Zea mays: one gene and its partner. The protein of the gene in region 2 binds, or shares a complex with, the protein of the main gene of each other region. Links are inferred from orthologs where the notes say so. Each region holds a gene or a part of one and is shown on either strand. Other genes may lie near its edges.

Region 1 (3,540 bases), on a different chromosome or scaffold from region 2:
GTGAAACAGACGAGCCGAACCGAGCTCGGTCGGCCACCGAGCTGCACCGCTCGGCTCGTTTCCAGCCCTAATCCTAGGGTTTGTTTGAGAGCAAGAATACTAGAAGGGCTTATAAGAGTCTAAAATTCTCATGTTATTCAATTTTGAATATCATTGCTCTCAAGCAAGCCCTTATGCAGATAATGTTCCTAGGATTACTCACCGAGGGAAAATATAGGGATCTCTAGAGGATTTGGATTTCCAAACTACCTGTTAGTGTGCCACCGTAGTTTTGTTGTCCATAGCAAGACAAAGATACATACAAATAAAGGCACAGATATACGTGACTATGGCCCTGTTCCAATCTCGCGAGATAAACTTTAGCAGCTTTTTTTAGCTACTTTTAGCCATTTATAATCTAAACAGAAGAGTTAATGGTGGTAATTGAAACTAAACTTTAGCACTTCAATTCATATAGCTAAAGTTTAGCAGGAAGCTAAAGTTTATTCCGTGAGATTGAAACGGGGTCTAAGCCCCATCTGGATCTCAAATTCTCAACGGATTTTAAGGACCTGACAAAAAGAATCCCAGAATACCACAAGTGCAGCACAGTAGCAGTGCCCTCTGCACGTTTATAGCACATAGCAGTATGATTTCAAGGCCACAGGTGGGATCTATTTGGCGTACTCGTTTCCGCTGAGGTGCTCAGCTCACAGCAGAAATAATACAGGCAACGAAAGCAAGTCCCAAGGAAGGAGTGTAGGACGCGGTAGATCCTCCACTACTGCGGCTTCTCGTAGCTGTTCTGGTCCCTGAACTCCCCGATCTTGCTCCTGATCATGTGCGCCACGTGAGGCTGCACGAACATGTTGGTAGGGTCGAGCATGTGCACGATGAACCTCTCCGACGGCGGCATCGACGCGTTCAGGTTGACGATGAACTGTGCCATAGGTACGTCGCTGAAAAATAGAGGGACGGACGGACGGCAACCATGTAAAGGCAGGGAGAGAGGGAGAAATGCAAACGAGGGATTCATTTTCAGCTGCGTCAGGAGAGCTTACCAGGAGATGAACAGCCCCTTGATCGCGTTAACCATCTTGCCTGTGCTCTGGACAGGGACAACTGCCTGGTTACATCGCCACACAGAAACAACGTCAGTTGGAGTACCAAAGAAGCAGCACCAGGACTGCAAACTTTTCGCACGAAAACGACGCGCATGAAGGTGATAGACTGGTGTCGCAGTGATTGTAGGATTGGTTGAAGGACAGAACAAAGGGTCAGCAAGATGCTCCACGTTTTCTTGCGCGCATAATCTCAGCGGATATCTTGTAATTCTCTGTGCACGCATTACACCGAACAACTACAGGGCACGGAGGGATTCAACGACAAACATAATAATCGCTTCTATTATTTTCGTAGCGGCAAGTAGGCCAATCATCAACCGAGGTCAGCTGAGTCGGAGGAAGAAGTGGCCCTCGGGGAGTTCCATGATCCGTCCCAATTCCCAACTCTCTTGCTCTCACCATGTCGATTCAGAACGGGAGGGAAAAAAACCAAACAAAAAAGTTCAGATCCGAGACGGCCTCACCGTTGCTTGGCACCGACGACGACGCTCGTCGTGGTCCCGCGTCCCTCCCGGCCGCAGGATTCAGTCCTCTCGCTTCGGATCGGATCCTCCACTCTTCGCTCGCCGGCGGCGCCGCAGCTCCTCTATCTATCGGCCTCACCTTTCCTCGCTTCTCCTTCAGCCCTCTTTGCGGCAGACGATAAAGATGCTGGGCCCGCTGGCTTCTTCGCCCGCCCACCAAACCCATGTTCACAGCCCACGGTCCGACCCATTTCTTGCAATTTGACACCGCAGTTTCCGTCCACAAAAAAAAAAAAGAACAATTAGATCTATACCATTAAAAGATCCAAACTTTAGATATATATCATGGATCACACATGTCATTGACTCATGTGGACCTATATATAAGTGAGATAGTAATGGTATGGATCCAAAGTGGTGATCTTTTAATGGTATGAATCTAAATTTCCAAAAAAAAAATTGCGTACGAATCATGGAACACCCGAGGGCCACTTCCTCCTCTCCTGACTCAGCTGACCTCGGTTGATGACTGGCCTACTTGCCCCTACGAAAATAATAGAAGCGATTATTATGTTTGTCGTTGAATCCCTCCGTACCCTGTAGTTGTTCGGTGTAATGCGTGAACAGAGAATTACAAATTTATGTCCAGCAATAGCAGAACCAAATTGTCATATGACAGTACTTAAAATTCAGTGAGGAACCACACTGTGTAACAGAATTTTGAAAAGGTGATGGTGAAAAACTTACTACAAATCTAGGATATTTTAGGTCTGCAAGGTTGCTGATTAACTAGGTACTAGGTATTCATAAATTTGATACTTAAACTGTCGTACTCATACCCAATAAATTAGATGACCTTAAATTGCGAAATTTCATGAAAAAGGAGAAAAAAATACACAAATCACTTCGCGCAGAGCTTCACACCACCACACAGCAAATCACTTGCGCATTTATTATAATTTTGGACAAGAACGTAGCTCATTTGGTGGGGAAGTAATTATCAAACAAAATAAAATTTGTGCGTGCAGCATGGACGTGGCTATATGAATGCACGGCATGTGCAGATGTGCCGCTGCCCAAGATTTGCTAATACAAGTGACCAAAGATGTGTTAGGTAGTAGTAATTGAGGAGACAAAGAGAGTGAGAGACCTGCGGCCAGCGGCCTCCAGCCTCCAGGTGAACATGACTGTGACGGTCTCAAACAATCAAACCTGAGGGGATGTGCAGTGTGCTGCACGGCTTGTAGCGGTGCAGCCCTGCACCCAGCACGCTGGAGAGCTGGTCTGCTGCCTGGCCCGCCCGCTCGAGGGAGATTGGGATTTGGGAGGACGAACGAGAGAGTCGAGTCGGCGACGATGACAGAATAGAAGCTAGTTTTCTCACTTTGCTGGTCACTTTATATATGTCGGTCATTGAGTCTTAATTCTATGGCCCGAATTCTTTAGTGCCTGTTTATATGGGCTCGTGAGGATTAGGGACGAAGAAGAGACTACCATACTCGTCCCCGCTAAACCTGATGGAGATGATTCTTTCTCATTTTAATACCTCATTGAAATAAATTGTAACTATCCCCGTCTTGTAATATCTCCGCGGGGAACGGGACTTCATTACCATCTCTACCTAGGATTGCCAAACAGAAATGACATCGACTGTGTGTTCAAATAAATCAAAATATACATTGTTTTTGGACATACAAAAACTCTAATTTTCAATCCCATCACAAATTAAGGGGTAAGCATACCTTCTACAAAATGCAAGGTGACGATGCTCATAAAATGGTATAAGCAATCAAACGCCTTGTTCGATCGCCAACTTCCATCCAGTGACATATCTGAAAAAAATTAGGAGAGACTAAAGGTCTGTTTGGTTCGCTGTTTAACATGTCACACTTTAGCTAACTTTTTTGTCTAAGGTTAGTTCTTTAATTTAAATGACTAACCTTAGACAAACTGTGATGTAGTTAACCACGAAC
Region 2 (4,503 bases):
TGGATCCTGCGACATTGGAACCCTACCGATTGCCGGAGAAGGTTTCGTGCTGGCTCAGGTGGGCAAAGTGTGACAAGGTTTTGCTCTTTCTCACACAACATTGAATTATCTCAAACTCATAGCAGGGTACTTTATTCGCCACTTTATTCACCTCATAACCATTAGTGTTCATCCAAAAAATAAAAAAATAGGGGAACACACACCTGAAAGCTGTCGATCTGGGGTAGCCGACCGAACCGAGGAGGTTGGAGATGCGATGTGTTTGCTTGCCCGTGGTTTGAGCTTGGATCGAGGCACAGACGGTCAAAGGCGTTTACAGATGCTGATCTTGGGCCGAAGGGAAGGTGGTGTTGGTCGTCGGTGCCCGCGACAGTCGACGGCGACGTCTGCTGCTACCTTTGCGGATGGAAACCGACAGATGCGAGCTGGCGTCCCTGGACCAGCCCGACTGCCCACGCCTGCTGCCTAGCTTCGCTGACGAAGCCGACCAAGCTCGCGCGAGACCGTGGTTGTGGGGGAGGGTCGCTAGAGAATCGGAGAAGGTCTAGTGCTCATCGACCCCGGATCGACATCTTATCCAACGAGACCTAGGCGGCACGGGAGGGGGAGGCGGGGGATAATGGGCCTTGAGCGCCACGAAGGACTCAGAGGTGGAAGCGGCGGCGTTGGCTAACGGCTTCTCGAGTGCGTCGGAGTGGGAGGAGGGCGAGGGCGGGGCCGGAGGGAACGGGGTTTCGAGGGGGGGCAGGGCGGGGATGACACGACAGAGCTCTGGGAGGGGTGCAGAGCGGGGTTCCATGGGAAGGGCGGGGATCTCGCGGTGGACGCGAAGGCGGCTGCCACAGCGGGGAGGCGGGACGGGCATCACGAGCGGGGGCGCGCAGGAGCGGGACGCGCGGGCAGGCGGGCGTCGAGAGGCAGAACATGACGCACATGTGGACGCCTACAATGAGGACTTATAGAGTAGTAGGGATATAAATACATTCTCAAAAGCCCCCAAAAGGAAAAATAGAACTATATGAGCTGATATATTAATATCAGCAGAGGGAGCCTGGATAACTTACGGCAAGGTATTGAAACAGGCCATTTAGTTCTTGTGGCTTCAAATAAACTCCTCCTGTTATGTACGAAGCCTGCATAATGAAATATCGGTAACTAGTCAGCAAGAGGATGTTGTGACAGTATAACATGTGGATGAATTTGATGAGTACTAAAGAGCATTACCTGCTGCAAGAAAGCAGAATCCTGGGTTCCCACAATACAAGAGTCAATTGGTACCTAAGAGATTAGTAAGAATGTTGCCAGTCATTAAGCCACCGTAGCTAAAGTTTTGGAACAATTATGGATGCATATCTACATAGGCACATTCCAATGTCTTGCTCTTTCTGAACCCACTACATGTGTCAAATTTGGATATTAAGTACTTACTCTATCTTAGTGTATAAGGTGTAACTACTTTTTATTCTAGTCCCATAATACAAGGCGTATTATCTCTAGACATGCGTACATCGATGCAAAAGTATAGAGAGAATTAAATACATTTCTTGGTCTTTGAGCCAGAGGTGGTTACGCCTTATATACTGGGACAGAAGGAGTAATAAGTAACAACATAGTGACTGGCTGGTGAAACGAAAAGATCAATAAATCTCAATGGGACTAAAATGGATTAAGCAATTGATGTGATACCATGGAACGTTGAGCAGAAAATATTGAATTCATCACTGCCACATATCTGCACATAAATTTGATGAAGTGAAAACTAGGTCCTGAAAAAAAACTAGAAACTGCATTGATGACGATGCGTGCATACTGTTCAGGTCCGTCTGGAGATCCCTGCAGGCACAAAATCTGTATCTCGTGTTAGTATCAACTGCCGTGGCATTATAATAAGTATGAGAATACTGACTACAACAAATTATGGGCCAAACAAAGCATTATTTGTTGATCACAAATGATGAAATTAAACATTACTCAGAACTCTACACTCACCCGAGGTTGTGGATGCCGAGACCCAGACCGGAAAATCCTCTGTATATCTAAATAACCTCAATGTTAAGCAACACGAGCACAAATAAGATAGGTGAATGTGCAATAGTCAAGGAATTCAAGCGACTGGATACAGCACAAAGAGATGGACAGCGCCCCAGAGAGCAGCGACGCGGCATTGGCAGAAGCAACGGAACCGTTGCCTGCAGTGGCGCGCGCATCTTGTGCAATGAACTCCTCCGCCTTGCGGCTTGCCTTGTCGAAGGTGTCCGAGACGGCCACACCACCGGAGGGGCTGGCATCGCTGGAATCCAGGATGTAGGCACACGAGCTGACTCCCGCCGCGATGACGACCACACGGTTGAGGTGGTTCAGCAGCAGGAGGGAGTTCACGAAGTGGATCAGCTGCACGGGCATGGATATCACATCAAGCCAAGGCCCAATGGACGGATCAGGGCACCGCTACCAACGAGTCATCTAACGCACAAAATCGCCAGTGAAGATCGAACAAGGAAGCAGGCGCAGGGAAGCAAATGGAGGGTTAGGGTTGCATACGTGCGCGAAGAAGTCGGCGAAGGGGAGCGCCGCGGCGGCCCAGAAGAAGGGGTTCGTGTCGACGACGACCACGACGAGGCTGACGTCATCTGCACGCGCCGACGGGTGGCACCAGATGGGTTGAGCGCGTGTGTGTTAGGACCATGAGGGCATCGCGGAGTACGGGGATGCAAGAGTGGCGCGTGGCTCACCGGAGTAGAGCTTGGAGTGAGCGGAGGTCATGGCCGGCGAGGGGGGTTGCTGCTGCTCGCGGCCCGGCGGCAGAGGCCGGTCGCGCGCCCAGCCAATTCAAAGCTCCGAGGCGCCGGCGGGGGTGCTCGCCTCTCTGCTGGGGCGGCGGCGTGGCAGACTGGCAGCTCCGAAGCCCAGCAGGGAAGAGCCGCCGTGTGTTACCTGGCCGGCTGGGGAGGCGGTGTGGCGGCTCGAGAACGAGGGACAGGGAGGCGGCGCGACAACGAGGGAGAGGGAGGCGGTGCGGCGAGCGTCGGCGCGAGAACGAGGGAGGCGGCGTGTGAGCGGCGTGTGGGGATGGCAACGGGCATACCCGTCCGGTAGGACCGGGCGTTCGGTTATTCGGTTCGGTTCATCGGTTCTTGTAGAAATTCGGTCCTTTAAAAACTAGAACCGAAATAGTAAGATAAAAAAAACTATAATCGACTAATTTGGTTCTCGGTTCTTCAGTTCGGTTCCTCGGTTCTAACCGAACTATAACAGTCACTCTAAAATTCTGAATAACGACAACTTTTGTGACAAATTTCAGCAACATCTCCCCATAAACAACCACAAGTGCGCAATGACCATAATTTCATAAATAATACATGGATGATTAGAGGTTCAACATAAGTTGATAACACAACATCCGAAGTTACAAACACATGTAACAAATTGAATCTAATACTTTTGAGTTTTTCGGTTCTTTGGAGTGCAGAACCGAAAATGTCTCATTTATTTCGGTTCTTAGAAAAACAGAACCAAATTTCATAACGGTTCCTCGGTTCGGTTAGTTCGGTTTCGGTTCCTCGGTTCCGATTCTTTTTGCCCAGTCCAACCGTCCGATAGTATCATTTCATACCCGTATCTATCAAAAAAAATCTACCTGTCGGATTACCCATATATGTTTGCGGGTATAAAATCTTACCCATACACGTACCCGCGCGGGTATTTTTACCCGTCGCGCAACCCGAACCCGATAGGAAAGTCTTAAATTTCAATATACCAATCACTCAAAATATTAAATAAACATGCAAAAAAAATCAACTTCACATATAACAAATCATATAATCACATAACTTGGTATCTAGACAAATGATAGTAAAAGAAGAGTTTTATTTTAGCTAGGATGAGCTCTATTAGATGGTTATAGTGGTATTGATGCGGGCATATTTTACCCATGGGTAGACGGGTACGGGTAGTACCAACTCGTACCCATACCCGTCTACCCAACGGGTAGAGGTTTTACCCATTAACATATCTGCGGGTAGAGAAATCATCCCGTACCCGCCTTCATATCGGGTAAAACCCGTCGAGTATTCAGGTTTCGGGTATCCATTACCATCTCTACGTGTGAGCGACTGAGCGTTTAGCCGTTTAGGACTTTAGGTTTAGGGTTGCGGCGGTCGGCGGGTTGTCTAGTTTTGCCGTTTTGGTGACTTGCGTTTGGGCCTTGGGGAATCCGGAAATGCACCAAATGGTGGGGAAATGGTCGAATGGCTAGTGGTCGTTGGATGGCGGCGCCGCCATACTATCGGACGGATAGAATTGCTAGTAGGCTTTAGTGTACCTTAGTTAAATGGGTCGTGTCAGGCCGGTCTGTGTGCTTAAGTTGAGGCCCAGGCACGGTCCATGCATTATCTCAGGCCGGCCCGAGCCTATAGATAGGTTGAGCTGTGAAGGACTGAGTCATAACTAGAATTGTGGGCTTTGGGCCAACCTGTTATGCATAACCCAAATGTAGTGGGAGTG

The links.
Region 1: General transcription and DNA repair factor IIH subunit TFB4-like (region 2) and REX1 DNA Repair family protein share a complex: the UniProt entries of both Arabidopsis thaliana proteins name them as parts of the 7-subunit TFIIH core complex. The link is inferred for Zea mays from reciprocal best matches to the Arabidopsis thaliana genes AT1G18340 and AT1G12400.

The regions. Positions count from the first base shown.
Region 1 is NC_050101.1:47,599,545-47,603,084, forward strand, and holds REX1 DNA Repair family protein, read right to left. Parts: upstream 1,754-3,540; 5' UTR 1,568-1,753; intron 1,106-1,567; 5' UTR 1,076-1,105; coding exon 1,041-1,075; intron 939-1,040; coding exon 761-938; 3' UTR 522-760; downstream 1-521. UniProt on the Arabidopsis thaliana protein: Component of the general transcription and DNA repair factor IIH (TFIIH) core complex, which is involved in general and transcription-coupled nucleotide excision repair (NER) of damaged DNA and, when complexed to CAK, in RNA transcription by RNA polymerase II.
Region 2 is NC_050099.1:247,477,334-247,481,836, forward strand, and holds the start of General transcription and DNA repair factor IIH subunit TFB4-like, read right to left. Parts: upstream 2,970-4,503; 5' UTR 2,764-2,969; coding exon 2,733-2,763; intron 2,631-2,732; coding exon 2,542-2,630; intron 2,392-2,541; coding exon 2,121-2,391; intron 2,046-2,120; coding exon 1,990-2,045; intron 1,849-1,989; coding exon 1,811-1,848; intron 1,733-1,810; coding exon 1,687-1,732; intron 1,279-1,686; coding exon 1,225-1,278; intron 1,134-1,224; coding exon 1,065-1,133; intron 172-1,064; exon of another isoform or gene 1-171. UniProt on the Arabidopsis thaliana protein: Component of the general transcription and DNA repair factor IIH (TFIIH) core complex, which is involved in general and transcription-coupled nucleotide excision repair (NER) of damaged DNA and, when complexed to CAK, in RNA transcription by RNA polymerase II.